Linked DNA regions of Oryzias latipes. The protein of the gene in region 1 binds, or shares a complex with, the protein of each later gene. Links are inferred from orthologs where the notes say so. Each region holds a gene or a part of one and is shown in the gene's direction. Other genes may lie near its edges.

Region 1 (8,027 bases):
TCCCAGACAACGTCAGCGAAGCCTTGAGGTAAAAGAAGGCCGACAGAGAGTAGGTCTGGTCCTGGTTGTGTTTGTGGCTGGAGAACAGAATGTTTTTGAGTTCCTGAGGCAGAGGGGCGCCAACTCTCTGACCTGACGCCGCTGGGTTCTGCTCATGCCAGAGGATCTCCACGTCCAGAGGGTAGTAGTTCTCTGCTGTGCAAACAACCTTCTGCTCCTTTCCCTCCTCCAGCACCAAAGTTGGACCCACATTCAGGGAGACCCGGGGAGGCTCTGGTGAGTCCAGAGTGACTTAGAATCACTTTAGGAAGTTGACATTTCTATGTTTACAACAGAACAAGTATGGAGCCTGTGACCTGATATGGGTTAAAAAAAAATTGTTCCCTTGAAATAATTAATTTGTTCCTACAAAAGATTAATTCATGTGTTAGGTCATTCATAAATACGGATGGCTTGCTGCTTGTCCATGTCATATTCTGTTATACATTTATCCTGTTGTTTTTGAATGCACCTTAGTTACAGTGACAGGTTGATTGGTCAAAATGCATTATGGGATATGTGTGATGCACGTATTCCATTTTACAAGCAAACGAGCTCCACGGCCAGAGCTCTTTTGCTTGTCATACCGGAATCTGGGCAGCTGGCTGGCCGGTGTAGGTACCATAACCGTTCGGCCTGCAATAACCGTTCGGGGTCCTTTCGACTGAGGATAACATCACACTACGGTATCCCCACTTGGACAAACTACATAGCGCGGAGATCTGCTCGGGCTCTACATATTTTCATTTCACATTTCCTTTTGTAACCCAAAGTTATTTTCCCTCATAAGTTGTGTCTGACATTATTCTTTGCAGTGTTTATGGAGAGATTTTGCCACAACCCACTTTGTAAAAAGATCTGTGGCTGTTAGAATGAACCTGCTGTTCCACGCTAGAGAACCGTATCTCTGATTGGAGCAACTGGAGTCTCGTAGCTTCGTGTTCGCAGGCAGGGAATATGATTTGTTATAGTGTTCGGTCCGGAGAAGGCTTCGGACCGCAGTCCGTTCGGCTGCAAATGCACTTAATAAGAATCTTAACAATAATAAAAGAACATTTAGAAGATAATCTCACTCCATGTCAGAGCTCTGTTTGTTTACAATGGACCGCATAATATCTTCTTCTATTGTAGTTTTAATTATCCGATACGTCAACGGACAGCCAATCCCATAATGTGACGTCAGCACTAGTCGAAGGACCCCGAACGGTTGTTGCAGGCCGAATGCTTATGGTACCTACACCGGCAGACGGAGAGCCGCTGTGGTAGGGGGAAGAAGTCAGCTCGGGCCTTCGATATTCGATATTTTTCTTATTTTCATCGAGACAATAATATATAGATCCCCTAGTTTGATTCTTGTTTTTATTTTTCTGCATGATATGAGTAAAACTCGCGATATTAGCGATCAATATTGCGATGACGCTATAACTTGAGAAACATGAAAGAAAATAGCAAAACGACCAAAAACATAATTTCCATTACACTGCAACAGTTTAATGGAAGAAAGAGTCAACATAATTTAAATTATACTCCAAATGACCCTCGTCTACATAAGGAGGCAAATATCTAACATGAAAGAGCTCCATCCGATTGGTCAAATGCATAAATAGATTTATTTGATTCGCTAAATAGTTCAAACTGCCATAAGATTGTTTTTGCAAATTTAAGGTAACCGCTTATTGCTGTCTTTTGCGATAAGCATATTGCACAGCTTGATATTGCGATAACGCTAAATTTGCGATTTATTGCACAGGCCCAGAACAAATTAATGATTTCGTGGGAACACGTTTCTTTTGTTTTTACCCATCTCAGGTCACACGTATACAACTCCTAATTTTAAATAAGGGTTAATTTAATTTGAATTGTTGAAAGTTTAAGAGACTTTCTTTCAAAATAAAAGCTTTTCTTTTTCCAGCAGCAACAAAACACTCAGTACAGATAAGAACCCTCAGCAAATGATGCAATAACAGCAACTCCAGACCTTTTCTGAAAAGGTCACATTTGGAAGCATTTGTGTTTTTTTTTTTTTACTTCCCACATAAAAAACAGTAAAACAAAACAAAACAAAACAAAAGTCAGATGTGACACAAATCCCAGAAATAAACTCAAACACTGTTTTCTTCTAGCCTTAAGAGGCTGAAGAAGAGGAACAGATGTTTTCAGCTGGATCACCAACACTGTAGCAGTGCGACCGCTGATGGTAAAAGAAGAGGACAGATTACAGGTTTTAGATCATCTCCTCACCCTCGACGTGCAGGTTGAGCTCCATGTTGGCGAAAAGCGGGTTCACAGTCAAAGAACAAATGTAGCTTCCTTCGCTGCTCATCTTGGTGAAGGGGAGAGTGTAGGAGGCATCTCCCCCAGCCAGGGCCTTCTTCCCAACTCCAGAGCCATGAATCTCCCCGGAGCGGCTGTTGTAGCGGAAGAGCATCCTTCTCTCTCCGCGGGACTGCCAGTGCCACTCCACGGTGACGTTTGGGCCTCGGTGGTCGATGCTGAACTGACAGTGGAGTTTGGGCTGCGAGCGTAGTCTGACTTTCACAGATGGAGTCTCTGTTTTCAGCAACATGGCGACTATGGACACAAATAGGATGAACCCTCTTACAGGCCTTCGTTCTGACATGCAGAAGCAGCGTCAGATGAAGGGGACACCTACCTGTGGTGGTAAGAACCTCTCGGTCGGCGATGGGCGGCCAGCTGCGGTAGTCCTGCTGTCCTGGAGGAGGTTGGTCAGACGGATGTCTGAGGAAAGCAGTGACGCTGAACTTGTCCTTTCTGTGTCTGAGGATGCAGGTGTACCAGCGGTTGTACCCCTCTGCCCCCAGGGCGGGCCAGCGGACATGGATGCCCTCTGTGCTGTACCGTCGGACCTCACACTCCAACTCCTCTACCTCCACCCCTTCAATGGACCGCTGCAGGTCCAGTTTTGAAACTAAAGCAACATAAAAAGTCATGAATGTAATTCTTTCCTGCCCCGATTCGTGTCTTGGACAGAAGCTCACCAGTGATCAGGAAGGTGATGGCGTGGGGATTGACAGGAGCGTCTCCTTTTAGACCAAACTGAACCATAGCCTCTCTGGGAATGAGCTGTGTCTCAATGTGTCCTTCACTGTTGTTGGACACATGTTCGTCAGTGAACTGACATGACAGCCATGGTATCTGCTGAACGCTCCTCACAACTGAGAACACAGAAAAACTAACATTAAACACACCCTTCATTTAAATTTAGTTCCTTTCATGAACTAACTGATAGAACAGCTGCAAACATACTTTAAAATAACTTACCTCCAATCACATAAAAGTAAATAACAACTTTCTGAAATACTCCCATTTTGATTATTCAATTGAATTTCTTGGTTCACCTTGTTTCTACCAGCAGCCAGGATCTAAAAAGTACTTTCATTTTCACTTCTGCAGAAAAAAAACGATTTGCCTTTAGCTCGCGTCACATGACCTACAAGATTAAAACCATAACAAAAAAAAAACATTTTTATATATATTCATAAACACAATAACAAATGAAATGACGTTTAAATCTGATGTAAAATATTTAAATCTCGCTCCGAAGAAAAACGTTAAAACTGCAGTACCGAATTTATCCGGGTGCGTCGCTGTGAACAAACATCCGGTATATGCGTCGCATGGCGGAAGCGTGTTTGCGGCTGCGCAGTTCTGCTGTGGATGTTTTTAGTTGGATTATGTTGTTTCAGAAATCTAACTTTAAACTTCGGAAACCGTGAACGTAACGGCGCGTTTAGAGAGTTTCCAGGTAAACGGATTACACTGGTATTTACCTGCACGCAACAATTATCACGGTGATAATGGACAAAGGTAAAATAGCTTTTATTTTTACTCTCTCTGTAGACCAGTTAAGTCACTGACTTTAAGTTAAAATAAATTCTTACAAAAGAAAATATTATTTAATAAAGAAAAGCAATGTTTTTTAATTTAAATTGTTTTTCCAACACACGACGCATTCATACCGATTTACACACGCGGTGAACCGCTTTGAATTGTGGGAAACTGAGTTTGGTGTGGTAAAATGAATGACATATGGATCCCCTGAAGGGATTTGGCAAAAGGTGAATAACAACAAGATCTACACTGATCCTGACATAAAGACGAACGCACACAAACACTCACACATTAAACACAATAAAAACTATATGGCTCTGTCCATGAAAACTGAGTTATTTATTGGAGATCATATCTGAAAGTTGAGAAGAAGCTTTGGTGTTTTTATCTGTGGATACGGTGGCCCTGAAGTTCAAATCACATCCACAAATTACTGTTTTAAAACATCACACAGCAGTCCTGGAATGCAAAAACAAAATTGTTTTTGCAATTCTTGTTTCTTACTGCATATTTGAATGAAAACTTGACACCCCACCCCACCCCCCGCTTTAATTTTGTTTAGATTTATCAAATGTAACGTTTTCTTGTTATTTTATTGCTTTTGTTGTTGTTATCTTTAAGATGTCTTTACATTGATATGATGATGTGATTGGCACTTCAGGGCTCTGATTATGTCATGTGATTTCAGGCTCTGCGGTTCTGCAGGGGGCTTTCCTGCTGGCAGACAAACTGTGTCGCCCCTCATTTCTATCCTGCGTGAACAAATCCGACTGGATCGCGGCGGGACGCCCGATCCTACAGGCTCTGCAGGAAGTCTGTGAACTGGAGGAAGCTGACGGTCATCACAGCTCGACCTGGACGAAGAAGGTGGTCTGTGCTGTGTGGCTGAAGCTCTTGAGCGCTGAGGAGGATGTTGAGAGAGCGTGGAGGGAGAACCCCTTTTTTTCCTTCCAGCAGAGCCTCCCTGAAGTTAACCATGTTGTCCTGTTGGAGTTGGTGAAGAACGCTGCTGCTTCACATGTTTACGCAGGTTTTCTCCTTCATCTTCCTGAAGATTTGATCTGCTTGGAGCTGAAGAGGCTGGTAGAGCATGTGAAGAGCGAGCCTACAAGCGAAGAGGATGTTCATTTCTTTCTAGAGATGTGGCGGGAGCTGTGGAAAGGCCAAGAGCAAGCCAAGCTCAGAAACGACGAGAGCATGGAGATGATGTTTGCCAAGCAGGTTGCTCGTCTCACCTCCATGTCTTCTAGTTTGTCTCCTCAGGCTGCCAAGAGGTTAAAGCTGGAGACACAAGACTCAGCAGAGGCTGATGTTTTCCACATTCTCCTCAATGCCCTCAAAGACATGGCAGATCACGTCTCCTCATTAGACCTGTGCTTCCAGTCTCTCTCCATGTCCCTTGATGCTCTTTTTACATCATTTCTGATAGACCGAGAAGTTGTTCTATCAGCTCAGGAGAAGATGGACATCCTGTGTAAAGCCATCAGTACTAAAGGAAAGAATGAAAAACTTCAACCTGAACTTGTTGAAGAAGCTCAGAGACATTTACGGGCTTCGATTTCCCCGTCTCAGTTCAAAGTCAGGAGGATGGATCTGGGTGAAGCTCTGAGGGTCATAGCAGAACTTAGTCAGTCTTGGAAAGACCGAGGACTCTTGGACGTCCAGGACGGCTCTCGCTCCTCCTACTCTGCTTTCCAGCTGGAGCAAAGTGTCCAGAGAGTCTCCACTGCTCTGGAAGAAGCTCCCACAGCAGCGACAGAGAAGAACCTGCTCGTGGCTGTGCTGAAGTCTCTGGTTCTTCCTGTCACAGAGAGCAGCCCTGAGGTGCATGCTCAGGTGCTCTCCACCATCATCACTCACCGCCTGGAAGACCACGAGAGCTTCGCTGCCTTGTTTGCCAGAGAGCCGCCCTGGACGCACTGTGATGAAGGCTGGATGGATTGCCTGGAGAGGAGCCAAGCTTCCTTCCGTCAGCATGACGCCGTGATCGGCCTCTCCTCTACTCTAATGAACAAACTACGCATGGAGAATGCAGACGTCAGCCAGTGCAGAAAGCTGATGAAAATCATAGCAGATATCTTCTCCAGCCTTTCCTTAGAAGACATGAACAAAGCCTTGGTGTCCATGTTAAGATTGTCTAGGAAGGGCTTCTTCGAATTCCCCGTTCCTCCTGAGGTGGCTGGAGGGTTTGAGCAGGAGCTCAACATGGCCTTCAACTGCATCATCCAAGCAGGAAGTGGAGCGTCCTCAGCTGTTCCTCAAGGGAACCTGACCACGGCCGTCTCACTCGTAGCCAGAGTGGCTTTTCAGAACCCAGAAGGCGCCTTACGGTCCTGCTGCCACTCAGCTGTTTTCAATAAAGGAGCATTTTCGATGATGGCAAAGATCCTGCAGCATCTGCCTGGACTCAGCGGTCAGAGAGGAGGAGATGGAGATGGAAGGAGGAGCGGAGAGGAGAACACGGCTAAAGACGGGACCTCTAGTCTGCTCTGCAGGTGCCTACACCAGACGGTCAAGGACAAGTCCCTGTCAGCCAACGAGAAGGAACAGTTTGCCAAATTCCTCGGTCTGCTGATGGGTCCAAACGTGGACGAGGGAAAGGAACAAAGCTTCCTGTCACCTCAGGAGGTTATAAACACCTTCGTCCTCCCTAACCTTTCATCTGTAGGTGAGGATCCTTTACAATGTTCCTGACATTTGAAGAAGACTCTTAAGAATCTTTTATTCTGAAATTTGGTGTCAGAATCATCAGTTTGAACTGTTAGAAGTGGTGCAACGTTCATGAGCTCCTCATCTGTTATAGCCTCTAATGACTAAGTCGTTTTATTTTTGTACACTTTGATTTATCAGAATTCAACATTTTACATAATACGTCACATGTTCTTCATCCGTTCTCCACATCTGCTCAGGTTCCTCCTCTGTGGATGCAGAGTTGAGTCTGCAGCTTCTTCACACAGCTTTGTCCTTGGATGTGCAGCCAGGAGCCTCCAGCTCTCACTGGCTGATGGACTGTTCTCCTTTTCCCCTCCTTTTTGTTCTCGCTCAGATCCACGACCAAAACCTCAGGTGTTTGTTGGGATAAGATTTCGTTGAGTCTTCCTTGGAGTTCTCCTGTAATTCGTCTGCTTTCTGCCAGGTTTTGGGAGGAACCGCCAAAAGGTGGCGTCCGCCTCTGCTCTGTGGACACCAAGGAGCTTCTGGTGTCTGTGATGACCACAGTGGGGCAAGTGGTGGGTGCAGAAGTGGCAGCCGCCCCCAGTAGCTGGTCCAGAGCCCTCTTCTGGCTCTACAACAAACTGGAGGAGTTGGACTGGACGGTTCGGTTCCACCTGAAGCCGTTGTGGGGGCAGCACTTTAAAAACGAGGTGCCCTCATCTCTGCTGGATGTGTGCGATCTGCCTGAGCAGGTGAGAACTCCTGCAGCCCAAGTCCCAGTCCATTGAACGGCAAAGGCCTAAAGTGGGACACGGACACAGAACCAAAAACCCACCGACACAAGTTGGTGTCTCGATTAAAAAGGGTTATCCCTTCATCAAGTGAATCCTTGCTAAAAAAGACTGTTTTGCTGTTTAAATAAAAAAAAACATAATCAAGACTCTTTTATAAACAAAGCTGTAGACACGTACATCCATAGGGGGTTTGATCCATCGCCGCTGCATCTTCAAACTCATTTGTACAACATGCCTGCTTCTCAACTCCTTCACCCTTACTGACCCTTACGTGTTGTCGGTGTTCACTACGACCCGTCGCCTGCAGCATGCCCGTAGAAAAATGTGCATGAACTTTTTCTCTTTCTGGATTCACAGAGCGGTCTGCCACCTGGATATTTTGTGTGGGCCACCTGTGTGCCCCGTACAGGTTTGAGCATTTTCACCTGCAGACAGCCCGTGCCCACGAATTAGGGCAGTTGGGACTCGAGATATATTCAGACCGCCCTCAACAGTGCACGTTCAAATGACCACTTCCAAAAAAAAGTCAATGTAAACGCATGGAAAGGCACACTTCTGGCTTCAGTGTTCAAAACTCTCGCGTTTAAACTTGTACGACCATTTTCAGGCTCTGTGTACAAAGTGCAAGGTTATTGAACGCCGTTGAAAATGAAACCGTGTCAAACTTTGATCAATCAGGGACTTGGA
Region 2 (7,949 bases), on another chromosome or scaffold:
AAAGAGGAGGGTGGGGTGGGGTGGGGTGAGGCAGAGTCAGATGGGAGCTGAACATCCCTGCTGTGTTCTGCAGGCTTGAAGAGCCTAAAGAACCGACGGAAAGGAGAACTGGTGAGAAGATGGTGCTGAGCCCGGGGGGGGTAAGCAACAAGCTGGGTGGTCTAAGAGAGAAACCTGCAGGTGGACGTAAACACGGAGACTCGTGTCTGTGACGAAGATGAGGGCGAGGACGTGTGCAAGCAGGAAGAAGACTTTAGATGAGCCGTCCACGTAAACATGAGAGTGAAGGAGGTGGCAGTGATGAACACTGTAATCATCCATCACAAAGGTGATGAAGAGGGCCCCTTCTTCATCTGTCTGGTCTGGGTATCACAACAGACACCCACATTGGAGGAGAGAGCAGGGCTCAGCTGAGTGAGGATGAGGAGGCTGACTGATGAAGACTGGAGGAAGCAGAAGGTTCAGGAGCTGAAGAATTTCACACCAGATCTAATGTAGAGGACTAATGTAGAGGAAAAAAGGTATTGTTTGTTTCTTATGAAAGCCTCTACGCGTGCGCACCTGCAAATACTGTTAGACCAAAGCAGCGCGATGAGAGCGCGTGCGTTCCGGATGATGAAGTTGAGACTCACCTCCTGCAGCAGCTCCAGCTCCTGCCTTAGCGCCTCCTGCTCGGCCTCCAGCTCCGAGCACTGCTGCTTCAGGCTCTGGTTCTCCTCCAGAACCGCCAAGCCGCACTCCGCCGCGCGGACCTTCTCCCGGCTGACCTCCGCCAGCTCCCGGGCGAGGCGCTCCACCTCCGCGCGGTACGGCTCCGCCGCGTCCGCGCATCCCGCTCCGCCGGCGGCCATGGCGCCTGCCCAGTCCCCCTCCCCGCAGCCTCACCCCTACCCCACCGAGCCCCGGCGGAGGAGCACCACCTGCGGCCGACAGCAGCAGCCCCGCGGAGGATGAGATGATCTCAGCGAAAAACCATGAAGCGATGCTGCGCGCGCCGTCACCGCAGAGGCCGCGCGCCTCTGCCGCGGGTGCACTCTGTCATGGTCCGGCCCCCCCACAGCTTTTCTGCTTACTCACCGGCACCGGGAAGCCATCTGTGCCCACTGCCGCGGAGCAAGGCAGTGGTGGCTCGCGGGCTACTGCCAGAGAAAATAGTGCGCCCCCTGCAGGTCCCACTGCCGTCTCCCAACCCCTCCATCCCTCATCTTCTGGTCTGCGAGGATTCCATGGATAAAATAAATAATATGAAATCCATTTTTAATCCGAAATTACACCCACAACCCTCAAAACAAACACTTTAACTGTTGCTAAATAAACGAAACTGCATTTCTGCTCTGCAAAGTCACAAGCAGCCAGCACATGAATCATAGATTACTGTGTTGATCCTATCCATCACTCCCAAAGAGAACCTCAGCATCTTCATCTCTGCTACCTCCAGCTCTGACTCCTGACTTTTCCTCAGTGCTGCTGACTCTGGGCCCCAAAACATGGCGTTACTCTCTAAACTGTTGACCCTAGATATACTTAAATCCTCCACCTTCTATATCTCTTCTCCCTGTAACCTCACTCATCCACTTGGGTCCCTCTCATTCACACACACCTTGCTGCTGCTAACCTTAATTCCCCTCCTTTCCAGGGCAAACCTCCACCTCTTGAGCATCTCCTCCACCTGTTTTCTGCTCGCACTAAAAATCACAATATCATCTGCAAACATCTTAATCCAATGGGGATTCCTGTATAACCTCATCTGTCAGTCTGTCCATCACCATCACAAACACGTTTTAGGGCTCATTCCCAATACATGTTATTCTAATATTTCTATTCATTTTCATTTTTCTTCTATTAGTTTTTCTAGATTGTTAAGTCACTTTTCTTGAAAGCTGCTCTCCTTTTCTCTAAACTGAACACAAAACCAAATTTTCAAGCCACAGTCACAAAACGTCAAACTCTTTTTGCAAAACCAAAATTTTCACCTCAAAACAGTTCAATCTCTGCTCAAAATTAAACTTTGCTGTGAAATCGTGCCCCGAGTCAGTCAAAATTAAAAGCAACATTGAACTATCACTAAACACTACATGGAAAAATAGAAAACACAATGCTCAGGACATGAAGCTGGAGAAATAAAAGTTTATTGTTGACTGTAGGCTCAATGCATGTTGCAGAAAACTTGTACAAAAATAGAAAAAAAAATCTTGAGCATTTACACATAGCACTTGTAAAAACAAACGAGCGTTTGTGACTTGTGTAGTTACAAAAAGAATACACGGTATTCTAGGCCTACAAACTGTTATACCAACCCTCCACTACAATATTACAATATTACAGTGCATTAGTTCAGTGGTACAGTAATTTCTGGCAACATTTACTTATAATGCCAATAAAAGGCATTTTACCTGTTCTTTACCCTAAATCTTCGGATCATGGTGGACACAGTGAATCTACTGGCGTTTGGTTGTACCTGTTGTCCAGCCTCCCTCATGCTAATCCCATGGACAAGCACTTTGTCGATCCCAGTAGCTCTGATTTCATGAGATGTTACTGTTCTTTGTCTTTGCTGACCACCTCAACCACCATGAACTCTTCCTCTCAGATTTCTGTCCATTGTAGGGCCTCACAAACCAGTGCTCTCTGAACTGGCTTACTTTATATGTTCTCCCACAAGTGTGATCAGTTTTGAGTTGTTGTGTTCAAGTGGGGACACCTGTGCTTTCTTTGTGTTTGACTTTTGTCACCTGTGCACACCTTTATGCAGCACGGGTGTATCACAATGAAAATGTGTTGCCAAGTCGTGTCTAAACAGGTGAGAAGTACTTATGGTTCGGCCAAAGGAACGTTCGATGCAATCAGTGGGTTCAGGCAACTGGGCATTTGGTTCAGACAATAATAGGGTTTAGTGTTTTAGCAATTGAGAACAACTGTAAGCGAAACTTTTCCTGTAAACAATATCAATAAATTACAGTATAGGTACTGGTTTGCAGCAGTAAAACTATATTCATTAATGCAGATATATAAAATCCCTACATTATATAACAGACTCTTAAACGTTTGAGTCTCTGGGTGCTTAATAATTCCATATAATTATTTGACATTTAAAACAACTGAATTAGTTTTTTTTTATTATTATTATTATTTAGTTAGTTAGTTAGTTAGTTAGTTAGTTAGTTAGTTAGTTAGTTAGTTAGTTAGTTAGTTAGTTAGTTAGTTAGTTAGTTAGTTAGTTAGTTAGTTAGTTAGTTAGTTAGTTAGTTTAATGTACGTAATGTCCTGCTAATAAAAAAGAGCTTCCCTGTTAGAAAATTGAGTAATTCTTAGAAATGAACCATCTATTGTAACATTTTCTTTATAAAATTCAATAAAAAAAACAAAAAACAACGTTTTTCTCCGTTACTTTCATAAAAAAAAAACGAAAACACCTGACAGACGGATTTTATTGTGAAATTCCCCGGAAGTGTGTCGTGTCTCGCGGTTTTGTGTCGTCATCGTAACTGCAGTTACGCACGTTGCTAGTTAGTTGCAATGTTGTAGCTATTAGCGCGAGGCCGTTTCTTCTCTGGGGGGGCCAAACCCTGAAGGACACCGACCCCCGCTCCTCACACCCGCACCCGCTCGACTGCTCCCCGTTACCCGACAGCCGCTCCTCCGCTCCCGGTTCGTTAGCGGGCCCCGTTTGTTCGCCGCCTCCTTCCGCGAGCGCGACGGTTCCGGCGGCGGCTGAAGACCACCAACCATGGCCATGAGGCAGACCCCCCTCACCTGTTCGGGTCACACCCGACCCGTGGTGGACCTGGCTTTCAGCGGAATCACGCCTTTCGGATACTTCCTCATCAGCGCCTGCAAGGGTGAGCTCCAGCAGGCCGTTAGCCGGCGCGGGGTTCCGGTGGCTCGGCCGTTAGCGAGCCCCTCTGTCTGTGCAGGCAGAACCCGATCTGGTCGTGTGTCGGTTCTGACTTAAAACGATCCTAGAAAACTCGTAGAACAGACCTGGCGGATCCGGTTCTGATGAATGGTCTGATTTCTGAGCAGAACTCTGTCTGTAGGGAAGTTGTGGGTCTTACTGGTAACTGTAATCCATGAAAGTAACGAGAGTATCAAGTAAGGCTCCTCAGGGATTCCTCATCAAACTCTAGGAAAAGCTAGTAATTAATGATTATGTAACAAAACTCAGGACTTGGTTCAAGCCCAACAGTTACTTTGGCAAAAAAAAAGTAACTGAGTAAATGTAACTACCCGCCTCTGGTTCTGATCCAATCCCTTCTGTTAAAGATGGCAAGCCCATGTTGCGCCAAGGAGACACAGGAGACTGGATCGGAACGTTTCTTGGTCACAAAGGTGCTGTTTGGGGGGCCACTCTGAACATGGACGCCACCAAAGCCGCCACCGCCGCCGCCGACTTCACAGCGTGAGTAGATTTGGGAAACTGCCTGTTTTCCCAAGGAAAAACACGCTTCTTTCCTACTGGGAAAGCAGCCTTTTCCTCCAGGAAAGTTGTTTTAATAGTAGGAAACAAACTACTTTCCTCCAGGAAATGCACTGTTCTACCTGCTGGAAATGAAGAATTTCCCCCAGAAAATGAGCCTTTTTTTCCAGGAAACTTTTTATTTCACTGGCTTCTTACCTAGGAAAAAAGCTTTTGTTTTCCCCCCCTCCCCTGGAATCAGGGTTTTATCTAGGAAAGAAGCGGTTTCTTTTTCTCCAAGATAACTAGTTTCTGTGGATTTTTTTTTAAGAAGTTGGCTTATTTTTTTTCTGGGAGTCTAAACGTCTTTCCAGTAGAAAAGAAACTCCTGACAGTAGAGTTGCTTTTTATTTTCAGGCACCCTGACTTTGTTCTACCCTGAAAACTAGCTTGATTTTCCAGTGTGCCTTGGAGGCACGTTAGCCCTGGAAGTTGGGTCATCTAGACCCACTAGACAGTGCTCTGAACCTTTTTTCTTCAATGATTTGTGATCTTCACTGGTGTCCATGGATTACATGAAATCTTTCCACCTTTGTCATCGTAGGGAGAACACGTCGATGTAAGGGTGGGGTCATGTTGCTGCTTTGTAATCCGTTGCCCCCCAACACTGACCGTCCCTCTATGTTCCCCTGTCACACGCTTCTGACCGTGTCTGTTTTCTGCAGGAAGGTGTGGGACTCGGTCAGCGGAGACGAGGTCCTGTCTCTGGCGCACAAACACATCGTCAAGTCTGTGAACTTCACTCAGGTCAGTGTGGCGCCAGGCGTCTCTGCTTTCTTTGTCCGTGTCTGCGTATGCGGGTTTTGGTAGAACCGATGTGGGTTAAAGACCCCGTCCTGTTAAAATGGTGGTAATTTTTCTCACGACGGAGAACATATAGACAGAAAATTAAGCTCAAAATAACATTTCTGATGTTTAATTTTTCAAATCAGGAGCAGACACAAAAATGTCATATATGTGACGTAGGAAATAGGCTGGGGAGTCTAAAGCTTCCTGCTCTGCTCCATTCTGATCATCCACCTGCAGACAAATAGATCCATGAACGTCTTTGTGTTCCTGGTCTGAGCTGGAATCTGGATCAGGACTGGACGGCTTACTCCACACCACAACCAAGAGGCTCATTTCTGATGAAGTCCTGCCGCCCTGCAGAAACTATGTCCTGGAAAATGACCAAAAACCGCATCATCATCATCATTAGAACACTTTGAAAATAAATCACAAGATGATTGGAGTGGCACCAAACTGTAATAGTGGGCCAAACGTAACAACTTTAGCTCATCAAACATCACAGCAAACTGAACCGTAAAGAGGAAGTGCTTAACGCTGGGACACCATCTATACAATGATTGTAGTCACAAAGTGCTCCGTGTTCCTGCTGCTTTGATTTTACAAACATGAGACAGATAAAGCTCCTGGTGAACATTCATCAAGCCAGATGGAGGACAGTAAATCTGTGCTTGTGTCTGTTAGGACAGCAACCACCTTCTGACGGCGGGAAACGACAAGCTGCTGCGCATTTTCGACCTCAGCAACACCGACGCAGGTGAGATGCAGTTTGAAGGTACTTCTGCTAAACACGGCATCATGTGACCCCCCCTCCCCCCTCCCTGTGTTCATCAGCCCCACAGGAGATCGCAGGTCACGGCGCAGCCATCAAGAAGGCTCTGTGGTGCAACGACGACAAGCAAATCCTCTCTGCAGCCGACGACAAAACCATCCGGTCAGTTCTTCTCTGAACGTGGGTCCTGCCGGCGCTGCCGGCGCCCTGGACGGTCCCTCCCGGATGCTAGGAGAGTCCGAATTCCTTCCGTTCTCAGTATATAGTGCTTTTGACATTTTGTAGTTATGTCTGAATCTACAATTCCAAAATCCAGTGCACTAGAAATTTCCCAGAAGTCTCTGCGAAAAAGCAGTGTGCATCGATTCTCACTAGATTGGTGAATATAGACCATCAATGTTTTTATCTTCAGACGACATTAATAATCGTCGCAAAACGCTCAGATTGATTAAATTTTCACTTTGTGAAATTGATGACGTCTTATTTGCCGTTAAAAAGAAAAAAAGTAGTGAGCGTGGTTTCAAAATTGCTTCTTAAATCCAGGGACCTACATAGTGCTGCACTATAGAGTTGATTAGTATTTGGGGGTCAGAGTGGGAATTTGGACACAGCCTTGGTGGAAATGTGGAAGTGGTGCAAATCTCATGGTTTTTTCCTTCCACACGGAGCACATTTTACATGTCAAACACGTGTATCCTGTCTTTGTTTAACAAGCGTCATAGTTGCGTGCCGTCTGTCCAAAAGCGTGTTAGCCTGAAGCCCCGTCGTGTGTGGGCGGAGCTTCCCTCAAAAGTTTGACTCGACCTCATCACGGAGGACACAGACGATGAGAGGTCAGGTTTATTTATTCTGAAGAACTGTAGAAAAGCGTCGCTGAGCAGCAATCAGTCAGCGCCCCGGACGGCGGGAGGAGAACGCCGCCGCTGCGTCTGGAACCAGTGGGAGGGGCTTTATAGCAGCGGGAGACACAGTGAAAGAACTTAAAGTAGTGAATTCTGACATCCCCTAATTCTCTTCATTTTAAAAATATCATTTTCTTTGGTTTTCTAGCTGCAATGTGTCGTTATGCACTTCATGTGGTCCTCCTCAGTATTTTTTTATAAATAGGAATATCTTGAGTTCAAAGATGTCATTGTTTCTTATATATACAGACCAGACCCATTCATGTGAATAACAAGGTGTGTCCAAACTTTTGGTCTGTACTTTATATAAATCGGCCTCAATGGGCAAATGATTTAAAGTGATTTTATGTGTTCATACCGTATTTTCACGACCTTATAGGGCGCCATATCAGTTATGGGGGCTCTTTCTGTGTTTAACACATACAAAAGGCGCTCCAGATTTGGGCGCAGGCCCTTTCCATTGACCTTAGCGATCACTCCGGCTGGAAACGTCTCTTTAGGGAGAGTCTTCCTCCTCGAAATCCCCAAAGGTGGCAGTTTCTGTCCAAGCACAACAGTAAAAGCCCACCATTCGTGCCGCGTTGTGCGTATAAATCGCTCCCATCTTTGCCCCCTCTGGCTTCTGCCCATGCCCTAGATTGTGAAACAGATTTGTCACCTATGTGCGTTTGTGTAATCGCGTGTGTGTCTGTGTTCAGGCTTTGGGACAGGACCTCCATGGAGGAGGTGAAGACCCTCACGTTCAACACATCTGTGAGCAGCATGGAGTACATGGCTGATGGAGAGATCCTGGTGATCACTTATGGAAAGACCATCGCCTTCTACAACGCTCTGAGGCGAGCCAGCTCTCACACACACACACACACGCACACACACACACGTGTTTTAATGTGGTAATAATGGTGGGAACTCTGCTTTACTGACCTGGAACAGCCTGGAGCTGATCAAGACTGCGGAGGCTCCGGCTCCAATCAACTCGGCCTCCCTCCATCCAGAGAAGGACTTCTTTGTGGCGGGAGGAGAAGACTTCAAG
Region 3 (7,016 bases), on another chromosome or scaffold:
GGCGGCGAGTTTCTGCCGTTTCAGGCTGAGACTGGCGGCGAGTTTCTGCCGTTTCAGGCTGAGACTGGCGGCGAGTTTCTGCCGTTTCAGGCTGAGACTGGCGGCGAGTTTCTGCCGTTTCAGGCTGAGAATGGCGGCGAGTTTCTGCCGTTTCAGGCTGAGACTGGCGGCGAGTTTCTGCCGTTACAGGCTGAGAATGGCGGCGAGTTTCTGCCGTTTCAGGCTGAGACTGGCGGCGAGTTTCTGCCGTTTCAGGCTGAGACTGGCGGCAAGTTTCTGCCGTTTCAGGCTGAGAATGGCGGCGAGTTTCTGCCGTTTCAGGCTGAGACTGGCGGCGAGTTTCTGCCGTTTCAGGCTGAGACTGGCGGCGAGTTTCTGCCGTTTCAGGCTGAGACTGGCGGCGAGTTTCTGCCGTTTCAGGCTGAGAATGGCGGCGAGTTTCTGCCGTTTCAGGCTGAGACTGGCGGCGAGTTTCTGCCGTTTCAGGCTGAGACTGGCGGCGAGTTTCTGCCGTTTCAGGCTGAGACTGGCGGCGAGTTTCTGCCGTTTCAGGCTGAGACTGGCGGCAAGTTTCTGCCGTTACAGGCTGAGAATGGCGGCGAGTTTCTGCCGTTTCAGGCTGAGACTGGCGGCGAGTTTCTGCCGTTTCAGGCTGAGACTGGCGGCGAGTTTCTGCCGTTTCAGGCTGAGAATGGCGGCGAGTTTCTGCCGTTTCAGGCTGAGACTGGCGGCGAGTTTCTGCCGTTACAGGCTGAGAATGGCGGCGAGTTTCTGCCGTTTCAGGCTGAGACTGGCGGCGAGTTTCTGCTGTTTTAGGCTGAGACTGGCGGCGAGTTTCTGCCGTTTCAGGCTGAGACTGGCGGCGAGTTTCTGCCGTTTCAGGCTGAGAATGGCGGCGAGTTTCAGGCTGAGACTGGCGGCGAGTTTCTGCCGTTTCAGGCTGAGAATGGCGGCGAGTTTCTGCCGTTTCAGGCTGAGAATGGCGGCGAGTTTCTGCCGTTTCAGGCTGAGACTGGCGGCGAGTTTCTGCCGTTTCAGGCTGAGACTGGCGGCGAGTTTCTGCCGTTTCAGGCTGAGAATGGCGGCGAGTTTCAGGCTGAGACTGGCGGCGAGTTTCTGCCGTTTCAGGCTGAGACTGGCGGCGAGTTTCTGCCGTTTCAGGCTGAGACTGGCGGCGAGTTTCTGCCGTTTCAGGCTGAGAATGGCGGCGAGTTTCTGCCGTTTCAGGCTGAGAATGGCGGCGAGTTTCTGCCGTTTCAGGCTGAGACTGGCGGCGAGTTTCTGCCGTTTCAGGCTGAGACTGGCGGCGAGTTTCTGCCGTTTCAGGCTGAGACTGGCGGCGAGTTTCTGCCGTTTCAGGCTGAGACTGGCGGCGAGTTTCTGCCGTTACAGGCTGAGAATGGCGGCGAGTTTCTGCCGTTTCAGGCTGAGAATGGCGGCGAGTTTCTGCCGTTTCAGGCTGAGACTGGCGGCGAGTTTCTGCCGTTTCAGGCTGAGAATGGCGGCGAGTTTCTGCCGTTTCAGGCTGAGACTGGCGGCGAGTTTCTGCCGTTTCAGGCTGAGACTGGCGGCGAGTTTCTGCCGTTACAGGCTGAGAATGGCGGCGAGTTTCTGCCGTTTCAGGCTGAGAATGGCGGCGAGTTTCAGGCTGAGACTGGCGGCGAGTTTCTGCCGTTTCAGGCTGAGAATGGCAGCGAGTTTCTGCCGTTTCAGGCTGAGACTGGCGGCGAGTTTCTGCCGTTTCAGGCTGAGACTGGCGGCGAGTTTCTGCCGTTTCAGGCTGAGACTGGCGGCAAGTTTCTGCCGTTACAGGCTGAGAATGGCGGCGAGTTTCTGCCGTTTCAGGCTGAGAATGGCGGCGAGTTTCAGGCTGAGACTGGCGGCGAGTTTCTGCCGTTTCAGGCTGAGAATGGCGGCGAGTTTCTGCCGTTTCAGGCTGAGACTGGCGGCGAGTTTCTGCCGTTTCAGGCTGAGACTGGCGGCGAGTTTCTGCCGTTTCAGGCTGAGAATGGCGGCGAGTTTCTGCCGTTTCAGGCTGAGACTGGCGGCGAGTTTCTGCCGTTTCAGGCTGAGACTGGCGGCGAGTTTCTGCCGTTTCAGGCTGAGACTGGCGGCGAGTTTCTGCCGTTTCAGGCTGAGACTGGCGGCGAGTTTCTGCCGTTTCAGGCTGAGACTGGCGGCGAGTTTCTGCCGTTTCAGGCTGAGACTGGCGGCGAGTTTCTGCCGTTTCAGGCTGAGACTGGCGGCGAGTTTCTGCCGTTTCAGGCTGAGACTGGCGGCGAGTTTCTGCCGTTTCAGGCTGAGACTGGCGGCGAGTTTCTGCCGTTTCAGGCTGAGACTGGCGGCGAGTTTCTGCCGTTTCAGGCTGAGACTGGCGGCGAGTTTCTGCCGTTACAGGCTGAGAATGGCGGCGAGTTTCTGCCGTTTCAGGCTGAGACTGGCGGCGAGTTTCTGCCGTTTCAGGCTGAGACTGGCGGCGAGTTTCTGCCGTTTCAGGCTGAGAATGGCGGCGAGTTTCTGCCGTTTCAGGCTGAGACTGGCGGCGAGTTTCTGCCGTTTCAGGCTGAGACTGGCGGCGAGTTTCTGCTGTTTTAGGCTGAGACTGGCGGCGAGTTTCTGCCGTTTCAGGCTGAGACTGGCGGCGAGTTTCTGCCGTTTCAGGCTGAGAATGGCGGCGAGTTTCAGGCTGAGACTGGCGGCGAGTTTCTGCCGTTTCAGGCTGAGACTGGCGGCGAGTTTCTGCCGTTTCAGGCTGAGAATGGCGGCGAGTTTCTGCCGTTTCAGGCTGAGAATGGCGGCGAGTTTCTGCCGTTTCAGGCTGAGACTGGCGGCGAGTTTCTGCCGTTTCAGGCTGAGACTGGCGGCGAGTTTCTGCCGTTTCAGGCTGAGAATGGCGGCGAGTTTCAGGCTGAGACTGGCGGCGAGTTTCTGCCGTTTCAGGCTGAGACTGGCGGCGAGTTTCTGCCGTTTCAGGCTGAGACTGGCGGCGAGTTTCTGCCGTTTCAGGCTGAGAATGGCGGCGAGTTTCAGGCTGAGACTGGCGGCGAGTTTCTGCCGTTTCAGGCTGAGACTGGCGGCGAGTTTCTGCCGTTTCAGGCTGAGAATGGCGGCGAGTTTCTGCCGTTTCAGGCTGAGAATGCCGGCGAGTTTCTGCCGTTTCAGGCTGAGAATGGCGGCGAGTTTCTGCCGTTTGTCCTGAAAGCAGCTGAGCTGCACCGACCCTGAAACTGATCTTTATCTCCAACAGCACAAGCTGTCTCCACACACCGACCTCAGCTGGAAGCCGGATGGGAAAGTCGTTGCCATCGGTAACGAGGATGGGTGAGTTGTTTTCACACGTGAACCCTTAGAAACGCCAACCAGACTTTTTGATCTAATGGTTAAAACATCTGAAGCAGAGATGAGGAGCGGTGGAGCTTTGAGGTTTTCTGTCAGGTTGCATCACAAAGTAAACATGTCAAAAGTTGCTTGTTTTCCTGGAAACTGGCCTCTTTCACCGGTCTTTTCATCTCTTTCATCAGGTGCATTGATGTTTTCCAAGCCCCCAACCTGAAGCAACTGTGCAGCGTCCAGCAGCACCACAAGATCATCAACTCGCTGCGGTGGCATCACCAGCACGGCTCCGCCTCAGAGCTGCACACGCTCCTGGCCTCGGGCTCCAGCAACGCCATCGTCTACGTGCACGACCTCCGCTCCGTGATAGGTGGGGACCTTACGTTCACAACAATAGTCACATGACAACACAAGCGTCCAATAAACGGCTCCAACCTGCTCTGAATCCTCCCAGTTACCCCACTGTCAGAGAGGATATGACCGTTTCTGGGATCCCTTCAGAATTCTCATCTTCTTCACCTTCATCCCATTTTGTTGTTTGGTTTCCTTTGGATCAGTTTATCAAACATCAACTGTCGTTCAGGACGAATACTTGCAGTTTGGATGTAGATTTAATATTTCCAGTTTTGAAACTTAGGTCTACAACTTTACACGAAGACGGATGGATGGATGGATAAATGAATCGTCAGATGGATGAATAGGTGGATAGCTGGATGGTTGGATGGATAGATGGCAGTAATTCCTTATGGAACCCACATCTTTACGAGTCTTCCTGGTCTTCAGAGAACCCTCCAGAGACTCCTGTGGTCCTGACGGAGCCGTACCGGCGGTTGTGCGGTCACACAGCCAAGATCACCGGGATGGCGTGGAGTCCACATCACAGCGCTCGGCTGGTCACGGCCTCGTATGACGGCACGGCACAGGTCTGCTGCTCCACACAGGTGAAGCCAAAATGCTGTTCTGAGGTCTGATGGGCGGGTCTCGTTTCAGGTGTGGGACGTCCTGGAGGAGGCGCCCATCTCTAACTACCGGGGTCACGTGGGGTATCTGCTGAGCGTGGACTGGTCCCCCGTTGATCCAGACGTGATCTGGACCGGAGGAAAAGACTTCACCGTGCAGGAGTGGAAGGTCTCCCAACAGGAGTTCACAAAGCCACCTAAAGGTGACGATGAGGCTCTGAGGGGGGATCCAGCCAGGTCCTCCTGCTCACGACTGACATGTTCTCCTCCCAGGGAGGAAGATGAGCACGCTGCAGGAGAAGAAGAAGTCCGGCTCCAAGCAGAAGAAGAAGAGCAAGAGCGCGCCGGGGCTCGGAGGAGATGTGGTGCCAAAGATGAACGGCGACGGAGAGAAGGATCTGTCTGAGGAGGAGGAGGAGGAGGTCGGCTCCACGAGCAGCATGCATCCTCCAGGAGGTGAATGCGTCTGAGGCCTGAAGGATTCATGTCAAATCGCATTTTTCTAATCATTTTTTCCTTTTTTTAGCATCTTTGGAGAAGAAATCCTCATCTGTCTCCAGAAGTAAAGAGAAGCCACCAGGTTTGTGTCTGATTCTTGTTCAAACGGCTTTTTCTTTGGGTTCTGAACATGTCCCTTGCTGGCTCCGCAGCAGATTTGAGCCTCCTGAAGAAGAAGAAGCCTCGCTCCATGCTGCCCCTCAGCACGTCCATGGACCACCGGCCCAGGGAGGAGCTGCTGCAGGACTGCGTCACTCTGGCCGCCGTCAGACACGCCTCAGGTGAGAGAAAACTGGCAGATGGTCTCCAAATGCAAAATAAAAATGTCAGAAAACTTAAACGAGCTTAAGTCTTCAGTTCGACCCTTTTTTCACAAAGCAGGGCTGATTGTGTGTTTTCAGCGCCACCTGCTGGCTGCAGCCCGGGACATGGCGACCATGTCCACCTGGGCCTGTTTGCAGACCGGCGGGCTCTGCGCCTCATGCTGGAGGCAGAAGGTTTGTTGGTTCTCCCTTCCTGGCTTTGGGCGTTTCAGCGTAACGTTCAACTTCCTGTCGACCCTCAGAGGAAGGTCACGTGCAGGCGGGGCACTTCGACTCGGTGGTGTACCTGCGGCTGTGGAGCGGAGACCTGCAGGGGGCGCTGCAGCTGGCAACGGAGAAAGGAGAGCTGAACGACCACCTGCTGTCCGTCGCTGCGATGGGTAAAGAGCGGGAAGATGCCGGTTGAAGTGTCTGTGCAGACGTCAGGAAGCCAGTTTGATGCAAAAAAAGAGAAGGTTTTGGCTGCTGCTGGTCTAAGAGCACTAAAAAACATTTCTCACAGGAAATTCTCTAGATTTTTATTGCATCGATAAAAGCTGACGAGGGGACAGGAAGTGACCTCATGATGTGTTGGTTCTTCACCTCCTCCAGCTGGTTTTGAGGCCTGGAGCCGCGCGGTGGAGGCCTACGTCAGGCAGCTGTGTCTGCAGGAGCAGTACCTGAAGGCGGCGTCCCACCTGCTGTCCATCAACAGAGTCTACGAGGCCGTGGACCTGCTGCGATCACACAAGCTCTTCAGGTCTGAGCCGCTCGGCCGTTTGACTGAAGGAGTTTGTGGAGCAGCTCCATCAACCAGAGCTTGTCGTTCGTCAGGGAGGCCATCGCTCTGGCGAAAGCGCGGCTGGCGCCGGACGAGCCGGTCCTGAAGGAGCTGTACGGCGGCTGGGCTGCGGTGTTGGAGAAGGACGGCCATCTGTCCGCAGCAGCTAAATGGTCTGAAGGGAAGAGTCCGGCCTCACAGACCAGCGCTCTTCCTCCGCCTGATCCGTCTGACCTGCTTCTTTCAGTCACCTCGCCGCCGGCTCCGGTTTCGACGCCGCCAAAGTCATCGCCAAGAAGAATGACGTCGCGTCTTTGAGGACGGCAGCCGGCGTGGCCAGGATCTCAGGGGAGGGGGCTCTGGCTCAGACGCTGGCGCTGCGATGCGCCAAAGATCTGGCGGCTGCTCAGGATTGGCTGACGGCGCAGGAGGTCCTGAGCGGTCAGGACGACCTTCTGGTCAGCAGCTCACACTCTCCTGATCCCCCCTGGAAAGGAACAGGAAGCCTCTCACCGAGATGTTTCACCTTCTGCAGGTCCACAGGCTGCATCTCTGCGTGGCGGAGCTGCTGACTGTGGAGCTGCGTGACGCCGGGGTCATCCCTGCAGCCTCCTGCAGCTCCACCCACACATGGGCGGAGCCAAGAAAACATCCCGCCAGCATCCAGGACCGAGTCAGAGACGTGTGGGAGGAGGAGTTTGGCATTTCTGCAAACGCACCAGAAGACGGCAGCATGGAGGCTCTCCTGCAGGAGCTGAGGTCCGTGGAGAGTCCGGCCCCCACCGCCCCCCTGAAACAGGTACTGACCTCCAAACGGCCACGGCGGCACAACGTCATCAGTCCAACGCAGGAAACTGTCTGTGCTTTCTCCTCAGGTCCTGCTGCAGGCCTCGCTCCATCTGACCCGCGGCGTGCTGAGCTGGATCCTGAACGACGACGCGCAGCTGCTGAAGGAGCTGTGGTGGGCGGCGGCCTGGATCAGAGACGCCGGACTCTTCTGCGCCTCCGCAGAGCTGTGCAGGCGGCTGTTCCCCGAAGGTCCAACACGCCTCCCTCTGAAGCCGTCACACGTGTTCAGACTCCGCTTCAGACTTCTGACCCCATAACGTCTCAAAACAACAAATCGCATTTTCTCTGAAGCCG
Region 4 (8,107 bases), on another chromosome or scaffold:
TATCGTCACTACTTTTGCTTTCTATATCTGTGGATTCTGCTGGGCTGTATTCTTTAGTTGTGACTTTGACAAATTCCTTTTTCTCATTCTGTTGTGCATATTTACCTTCAGATCTTCCTAAGGAGTTTGACAATAATTCGTTAAAACTCTCTTCCTTCCCTGATTGCCTGCAAGATGATTTTAAGAAAAATGGATTATTATCTGTAGCAGTAACTTCTTCATCTGCAAGATCATTGGTAGTATCTTGCTCCCAATTTTTCACCGATTTAAAGATCTCCTTGCCCTTGTTGACCATTTCTTCAGATCTACTTTCTTTCACTTGGATTTCTTCTGAGTCATTTTTGTCTTTATTCTCTCTTAGAGAAATCCTGCTGTTCAAAGATGACATTTCTGCATTCATCTGGAACTTTTCATTAAGCTCATTAACCTGGAGTTTATCTTCATTCCTTTGAAGATTGATCTCATTTCTGTCTAATGCATCTTCATTATCTACTTTGTAATTGTCAGTATCAGTGCTGTCAACTTTCACATCCTCTGGAGATTGGGTATATGGATCCTTTTGAACACCTTCCTCTTGAGGTGATTTGCTGGTCTCAGTCTTTGCTACATCCATCTGTGGAGCCGCCAGTACTTTTGTCTCTACATGCGATTCCAGTGGTTCTTCTAAGACATTACCCTGCTCTTTCTCTCTTTTTATATCTTGATCTACTTTCTCATTTTCCTTTCCAAAGCCCAACATGTCCCCAATTCCTGTATTTGGCCAAAAACGATATTCTTGTTTTTCCTTTTCCTTATTTTCTTCACCTGCATTCTGATTAGTCAATCCATATCCCATCCCACTTGAGAGCTTGCTTCCCAACCAGCCTAGCGTTCCCATCTCAGTTTTCTCTTCTTCATGTAGCTGACTTCCTTCCAGGTCCAAAGACATCCGTCTGCCTCTGTATTTCTCAGCTGGTTCAACCCCTTCATCTGTTTCTTCTCCATCGTGCTTATTTTTTTCATCGTCTGATCTTTTCTTGCCCCCAAAACTGAACCAACCAGTCACAGTCGAGGCTATGGTATCAGTTGTTTGGTCTGGGATTGTCACACTTTCATCTGCATTGTCTTGTTCACTGTTTCTCTCAAAACCCAGCCATCCTTTAACAGAGGAGGTGAGTGAAATTTCATCCTTGTTTTCTGTCTTCTCATCTTCACCCTCTCCTTTTGGCAGTTCGTCCAGTTGCTCCACACCAAACCATCCTGTCACTGAGGAACTCAGCCAGGAAGAGGAGGCAGACCCACCTTGTTTGCTCGAGGCTGCATGAATCTCATGCACTTCTTCAGGTGGATCTGCTTCATCCCCAAATGTCTTTGGGACGTCTATTTGCTGTGCTGGAACTGATGATTCGGCTGAGAGATCATCAAAGGACAGGGGGCCTTTAGGATTTGTTTCATGCAAATATTTAGTGATAACATTGATATTGGACTCCTGTTTTGGGGTTTCCTGATTATTGTCATCATCCGAATCAATGGGGTAGCCAAACTCATCGATACAAAAGAAATCTGATTTCTGCAGGAAAAATGAAAACAACATCTTACATATCAGAACTTGGTACAAATGTACAAAGAATATATTTATTACTTCAAGTGTAGTTTAAAAAAATAAATCTGCTTTAAGTATTTTAAGATGATTATAATTTAAATTACCTGTGTTTCCACTGCTGTCTCCATGGTTGCAAAAACTTGCTCCTCTTGTACTGCATCCTTTGGAAAGTAGCCGAACTGTTTGTCAATCTGAATTTTTAAAAAACACTTTAGTGAATTTCCCTCAACAAACACAAACAACCTTTACAAGTGAATATAAAAGAAAAAAATAAAGTGATAAAAAAAGGAGACAGTTATTTTGATGTTGAATATTCCATTGGGTTAAGATTGGAATTATTGCTTTTATTTTTATCTTTTAAAGTTTTAAGACTTTTTTTTATCCATTAATTCTACTTTAATGGCAAAAGACACTGAAAAACCACAATGAGGCTGTGTCATTTTTTTCTTTGGAGATTAAAACAAATGTTGGTCCTTTTGATTTTTAGATCCAAGAATATAAAAGTAAGAAGTTCTGGGAATGTTTATATTTTAAAAAATTGCTTAGTTCTGGTATCTTACTTTTCTGAGATATGTGAAACTTAAATGCTGAAAAGCAACAAGCTTTTGATAAGATGCTCTGAAACTAAAGAAATCAAAATCTAATTCATATTTAACAGGTCAAAAACACAAAAATTAGATTAGATTCAATATTATTGTCATTGCGTGAGTACAAGAACAGGCATCAAAATATTAAATTCTAACAGAATTTTCAAATTAGTTTAAACATGACTATATTTAAACATTCAAAATAAAACTCTTCCATCCAACGGTTAAATGAAAGTCAAAGATGTCAGCATCCCAAATAAACACTAAGGCTTTTTGTATAATAAGGAATATTGTTTTGTTCAACCAAAGACCTTGGATAAGGGACAATTTACATTAAGGTTTCATGATAAGGAGGCGACAGAGATATAAAAGAGATGAAAATTGGACATACACTGCCTGCCCACAGATCCTCCCTCTTTCCTGTAAGTTTGTGGTAGACAAAAATGATATCTCCACGTCTGAAGCTTAGAAAACGGCAGTCGTTACTCTTGTGGTCCCTTATGGCCTGAACCCTGCTCATTAGGCCTACACACACAAACACAAGTGATCAGTTGCATTAAAATGATTAAAATGTCTTTAATAAACCAACTAAGCTAAATTCATGCATAAAATATAACAGTATTTTTTAGGAACTTCAAACTATTTTGACACAAGTGTTTGGACTTACTTTCACACTCAGAATCTCCACAGATCTTGTAGTCGGATAACATTCCTGGATTTATAAGAGGCAAAATCACAAACGTTAGACCCACAATCCAACAGAATTTATGTAGCAGGGAAACATCCATTTTGGGTGCTTTAGCTGGAGTGTATCATAGAAAAAGTCCCATATTTGAGAAGAAATCCCTTTGACCTGCTGTTCAGGAAAGTGGACATTGACTCTGTGCTGTTTCTCTCATGAAACCTCACTAGTGGTAAACGAAAGAATGGAGATAAGATATAACGCTAGCATGAAGCTAATAATTAACAACGTTGCTCGTAACCTGATTGCAGAACAAAACAATTTAGCTCTAATGTCAAAAGTTTATTTTTTTCATTCACCAACTTGATTTGAAATTTTTTTATTTATTAAACAGCTTCTGCGGTTGAATTGAGGTATAATAAACGTGTTTAAATGCGCAACATAAAATGCTCGTGGACTTCGTTCCTTGTCGCTGCCAAAGTTTCAGGCGCTGTCACGTCACTATGGAAACAAATCTCGCCTCGCGCACAAAATTGGCGTCATCAAATCTAGTTTGAAAAACAAAATGGCGCTTGTTGGACAACAGTAAATACTAGCATCTGCCTAGTCTTCGTTTTAATGTCCTGATTTCGCTTAAGAGTTTTACATTATTAGCGGAAAATGAAGTCGGATGTTGAGGAGTTAATGCCAAGGCTGCTTCCGGTGGAGTTAGGACAAGACACCGAGCACGTAGACCTCAGCGGTCCACCGAGGAACCCCCAGGAGTACTTGCGACAGGTCCAGTAAGTTCTCCCTTCTGTTCTCATTAAAGTGGAAAGCCAGTGTTTTCATAATTAAAATGCTTTAGAATAGCAAAGCATTGGTATAAAAAAAATTGTATAAAACCAAAGTTCCTATTTACAGTCTATGTATCGAACCGTGGAATTAGCTCTCCACTTAGTATATTTAAGTGTTTCTGTTGTTTCTTTTCAACAAACTTTATTATCAATACTTATTGTATTAACTGAATAGAATAATATAGGTAAAAGAAAACACTACACAGGTTGCACAACACGTGCCACCTGTACTTTAATAATCAGTCCAGTCCAATTATTTTTGAACATAGAATATAAGTAAATAAAATATAATATGCCGTTTCTTTAAAATATCAAATGTTCTTGTCGCCTTCAATATGGACTGCTTATATGTATGAATGAGGAATGTCCCAAAAATAATGAACAGTTCAGTAACAAAACTTACCTTTTTGGGCAAACCATGTAATTAAAAATATAATATGACATTAAAAAAAGAATTCAGAGAGTTATATTAAATTTTGTGGTTATAAATTCACGCAGATCCGACCAAAATTGCTTGGTGTACATAGAAAGAATAAATAAATGAAAATTGTCTCCTTACTTGATTGGCAAAAAACAAAATTGTTCTGTTTATTTTAAATCTTCTTAGTGTATCTTTAACTGGGTAGAAAGCAAAATAAAACCTATTTTATTTTAATATTAATACAGTATTTATGAACAGAAGTATTAGTCTTTTCCCAATTTAAATCACCCATGGTTGAATACCAAAAAGATTTAGCAGCAAGAAATTCAACTTCTTCTAATAAAAAGATTATTGATTTCAACATCTGTGAATGACTCGTTTTAGAAATTGAAGAGAAGATATTAGCTGTGTTTCCCAGTGACCCCTCACCTCCTTGTGATGTAGGTTGGAAGCGTCCATGTGTCCAGAGGTGGTGGTTGCTCAAATTGACCCTAAGAAACTAAAGAAGAAGCAAACAGTCCATGTATCTGTAAGTGAAAATCTATTTATTTGGTCAAATCTTTATTTGTTAAGGCTTTGTCTGTGTGGTGAGGTCATGTATAGTTGACTCTGCAGCCAAGAGACATGATAATCTGGAAAACCATATTTTCTGTCTCAGGTAGCTGGGTGCCACGCTCCCCCAGTAGGTTTCTCCCCCAGCCTTCACTGGCAACAACAACAAGTCAGTAATTTTTCTGACGTGAGACGGGTAAGAAAAACTAAAAGAACAGTGTGTTGCTTTTATATCTCACTTATATTTCTGCTTATAATGTCTAATTTTTTAATTTACTAGAGCATCACCAAGAATAGAAAACATTGGAGCAGCCAGACTCTGGATAATAATGTACGCATGGTAAGATGTCAAATCCCGCTGCAATGTTAGCAAAGGTCAAAGGTGCTCATTTGCATAATATTTAAGTGTGATCTTTTACAGCCAAACCTTACAGATGAGGAGGGCTGGAAGAAGTTTTGTTTAGGAGAGAGGATCTACTTGGGCGCATCAGCCTGCCCCACAGATGCAAAACCAGAGGCAGAACTGGACTATAGCAAGGTTGTCAACTAAACTGTTGTTAGAATTTTTAAACGCCAAAGTTTTGAAACAAAAAGTTTCAAATAAGACTTTTTTTCTTTTTTGTTAACTTGTTCTGTCCAACAGCTGAGCAAACAGATCAGAGCTGAAGGCCTCTTGTGTTTGAGAGATTTTACTGTTACAATAGGGGGTCATGAATCTTCTGACACACAAGGGGTATATTTATTTAAACTCTTCTGTATTTGAGGGTAAACTTTATTTATATTGATTATGTTTGTATACCTGTTTTGAAAAGGGAAAAGGGGGGGGGGGTTAAAGGAAGTTGGAGCATGATCAAAGAAGTAGAGTGGGGGTAGATTCAGAATCATAAAGCAAAAAGTTGCTGGAGGTTTATCATTATTACTGTCAGATTAAGGCATTAGTCAAAAGGAGCTAACAGGTATGTTACAAACATACCTGTGTGAAATCTTCACATTCCATATGTCAACACATACACGATACAACTACAGCTCACACAAAAATACTTATGCATACATAAAGAGAGAGGAGCCAAGAAAGCACACCAACTTGACCGAGGCAGTTTGACCAGCCAGGGCTCTCCATGATTGTCTCATTGCTGACCCCAACCCTCTGTAGTCCCATCCTGATGGAGGACCCCCTTCCCAGAGGACAGAGCCAACCAGTCTACCAGCCCCCCCCCCCCCCCCCCCCCCCCCCCCCCCCCCCAGATCCTGCAGCCATGGCAGGTGTCACCCAGAGCAACTGCAAACCCCAAGAGGGTTGCCCCACCCCGTCCCAGGACCAGAAGAGTGCAGAGGTGCAGGCCCAGGGTCTCCTGCACCTGGGCCTGCACCTCCTCCTCCTGTCCTAACCCCCCCTGAAAAGACCACTCCCCAAGCCAAGCCAGACCCCCTCAACCGCACCGACCAAACTCTCCCAAGACCATGCAGTACCCCCACCTGCCCACTTCCAGGCGCCCAACCAGGTCCCCCTAACTAACGAAGCCTCCACTGCCCCCCTCCAGCCCCAGAAATAAGGCACTTTAATAGGCATGTTACATTGAGGGACAACGTGAAAACTAGATTTTACTGATGTGTTTGTTTTCATTTTTTTTCAGGTTGGGTTTCCTCCATTCTTAACCATCGTATGCAGACTAAACCAGGTAATTGTTTTTTAACTGAACAGATGATAAAAAAGTAATTTCAATCTTCTTTTGAGTAAATAAGCTTTATAAAAATGTAGAACATAAAGGAGCAGGGATTTGGCAAAATCTCAATTTGTGGATGTGAAATGTGAAGTAAAGACCCACTCAGATGAAAATTGGGTTTTTAACATGTTCTTGTGGTATTTTCTGATGATGGCCTTGTATGTCACATAGCCACTACTTACATTTGCATTTTCTTCATATGAAATTTTGGTCTTTATGTGAATTCAGTTTTGAGCTATTTACATATTTTGGTCCGTTAAGAAATTCCGCAGTACATGCGTGTTCTACGTAGTTTATGCACAATTATTATGTAAATCTGCATATGCAAATTTGTGTCTTTCAACGACCGTTCCACATATATCTAACAGACTTTTTACACACGTGCCACCGATGTATAACTTTTCAATCACGTATACGGCGCACATATCACTTTAAAATTACATAATTGACACACAAATCACGAATGAATTGGATATAAACAGCGCAATAATCACGCACAGTTTGTTGTCTATAGATTTTATGCATTTTTTGCGTGGTTCATTCGTACTTCTTCCGTGGTTTTTGGTAATGCATCTGTGAAAATTTTGTGTAAAGACCACAACTTTTTTTCATTTTTTCCACGTATATTCATATATGACCATTTTTCATCCATGCAATATGGGCAAACTTTAAGTGTGTACACATGGATGACAGGAATTGTGGGTGGGGTTTCTCCATGCTAACAATTCCCACATACAACTCACCCTCCTCCCTATCTATAAGCATGTTTGACATTCTGTCCATAAGGGTGAATGTCTCTCTCCTTTGTGAATTTGTGGAGATTCAGTTGCTTAAAGAGAAACAGTGATGACGGATGTTCTTTTGTGTTCAGTCGACGGCTCTGATGGTGCTGGACGTTCTTATTAGCTGGTTTGAAGAGCATGAACTAGTCCCTCAGTTGGTAAGTTATTTAGATTTCCTGGTGATTTATTTTACAGCTTATTTAAAGTGTGAATTGTTCTTAGTCCACAAACTGCTACAAAATGATTTGAAAATACACAAGTGGTATTAAAAGACAGATGTATTTATCAGCTTTCCCACATAGAAAATTTTTCTGCTGTTTTATAAACGGTTGTTTTGTTTTCCAAGGGTTGCTGGTTGTATGCTTTGTTGGCCTGCTTGGAGAAGCCATTGCTGCCTGAAGCACACTCCTCCATCCGCCAGCTGGCGAGAAGATGTGCCCAACTCCGCAGCACTCTGGTAAGACTTTCACACTGCTTTGGGTCTTAGAGCTGCACGTCCCTTTGTGTTCACCGTGCGGCTTATCCTGTTAGGGGCTGAAACAGCGAATCAGCTTTCACTGAATTTGCACAGGCGGTTTAGCAGTTTTTATGCTGGATGCCCTTCCCCACACAACCCCGTATTTTCAAGGCACAGGGAGACCCTGATAGGGAGCAGCGCAAAGGGTCTTGCCTAAAAACCCACACTGGATTCCCTACATCATAAAAATATATATATATACAGATTTATGAATGGAAACTAAGTCCATTCGGAATTTTTTTTTACTGTATCTTTTCCATTTTGCTTTCATCTTGACATACTTAAAGGCTGTTTCTAAATAATGTATTTTAAACTGCAGTTACTATATCTACAGATTGATCACATTTTTAAATCAATAGACACAGCGCCTTTTTTTTTTAGATCCTAACAGTAAGTTGTATACAAGTTTTATTCTGTTTAATTT

Evidence for each region.
Region 2: gemin4 (region 1) and strap share a complex: the UniProt entries of both Homo sapiens proteins name them as parts of the SMN-Sm complex. The link is inferred for Oryzias latipes from reciprocal best matches to the Homo sapiens genes GEMIN4 and STRAP.
Region 3: gemin4 (region 1) and gemin5 share a complex: the UniProt entries of both Homo sapiens proteins name them as parts of the SMN-Sm complex. The link is inferred for Oryzias latipes from reciprocal best matches to the Homo sapiens genes GEMIN4 and GEMIN5.
Region 4: gemin4 (region 1) and gemin2 share a complex: the UniProt entries of both Homo sapiens proteins name them as parts of the SMN-Sm complex. The link is inferred for Oryzias latipes from reciprocal best matches to the Homo sapiens genes GEMIN4 and GEMIN2.

What each region holds. Positions count from the first base shown.
Region 1 is NC_019871.2:19,884,733-19,892,759, forward strand, and holds the start of gemin4 (gem-associated protein 4), read left to right. Parts: upstream 1-3,646; 5' UTR 3,647-3,717; coding exon 3,718-3,805; exon of another isoform or gene 3,806-3,857; coding exon of another isoform or gene 3,858-3,867; intron 3,868-4,579; coding exon 4,580-6,559; intron 6,560-6,800; coding exon 6,801-6,957; intron 6,958-7,027; coding exon 7,028-7,298; intron 7,299-8,027. Other genes in the region: tapasin-related protein, read right to left, coding at 1-273, 2,281-2,610, 2,693-2,968, 3,039-3,215, 3,322-3,367. UniProt on the Homo sapiens protein: The SMN complex catalyzes the assembly of small nuclear ribonucleoproteins (snRNPs), the building blocks of the spliceosome, and thereby plays an important role in the splicing of cellular pre-mRNAs.
Region 2 is NC_019881.2:4,533,941-4,541,889, forward strand, and holds the start of strap (serine-threonine kinase receptor-associated protein), read left to right. Parts: upstream 1-3,449; 5' UTR 3,450-3,727; coding exon 3,728-3,839; intron 3,840-4,263; coding exon 4,264-4,399; intron 4,400-5,121; coding exon 5,122-5,203; intron 5,204-5,926; coding exon 5,927-5,999; intron 6,000-6,076; coding exon 6,077-6,176; intron 6,177-7,614; coding exon 7,615-7,752; intron 7,753-7,849; coding exon 7,850-7,949. Other genes in the region: protein bicaudal D homolog 1, read right to left, coding at 633-851. UniProt on the Homo sapiens protein: The SMN complex catalyzes the assembly of small nuclear ribonucleoproteins (snRNPs), the building blocks of the spliceosome, and thereby plays an important role in the splicing of cellular pre-mRNAs.
Region 3 is NC_019872.2:29,390,932-29,397,947, reverse strand, and holds part of gemin5 (gem-associated protein 5), read left to right. Parts: intron 1-3,247; coding exon 3,248-3,321; intron 3,322-3,521; coding exon 3,522-3,703; intron 3,704-4,116; coding exon 4,117-4,256; intron 4,257-4,323; coding exon 4,324-4,495; intron 4,496-4,565; coding exon 4,566-4,748; intron 4,749-4,818; coding exon 4,819-4,872; intron 4,873-4,942; coding exon 4,943-5,071; intron 5,072-5,191; coding exon 5,192-5,287; intron 5,288-5,355; coding exon 5,356-5,493; intron 5,494-5,704; coding exon 5,705-5,852; intron 5,853-5,926; coding exon 5,927-6,046; intron 6,047-6,120; coding exon 6,121-6,331; intron 6,332-6,408; coding exon 6,409-6,672; intron 6,673-6,748; coding exon 6,749-6,911; intron 6,912-7,016. UniProt on the Homo sapiens protein: The SMN complex catalyzes the assembly of small nuclear ribonucleoproteins (snRNPs), the building blocks of the spliceosome, and thereby plays an important role in the splicing of cellular pre-mRNAs.
Region 4 is NC_019880.2:19,641,507-19,649,613, reverse strand, and holds the start of gemin2 (gem-associated protein 2), read left to right. Parts: upstream 1-3,379; 5' UTR 3,380-3,511; coding exon 3,512-3,633; intron 3,634-4,537; exon of another isoform or gene 4,538-4,552; coding exon 4,553-4,637; intron 4,638-4,766; coding exon 4,767-4,856; intron 4,857-4,940; coding exon 4,941-5,000; intron 5,001-5,081; coding exon 5,082-5,198; intron 5,199-6,294; coding exon 6,295-6,339; intron 6,340-7,255; coding exon 7,256-7,324; intron 7,325-7,512; coding exon 7,513-7,623; intron 7,624-8,107. Other genes in the region: transport and Golgi organization protein 1 homolog, read right to left, coding at 1-1,549, 1,687-1,773, 2,561-2,694, 2,837-2,957. UniProt on the Homo sapiens protein: The SMN complex catalyzes the assembly of small nuclear ribonucleoproteins (snRNPs), the building blocks of the spliceosome, and thereby plays an important role in the splicing of cellular pre-mRNAs.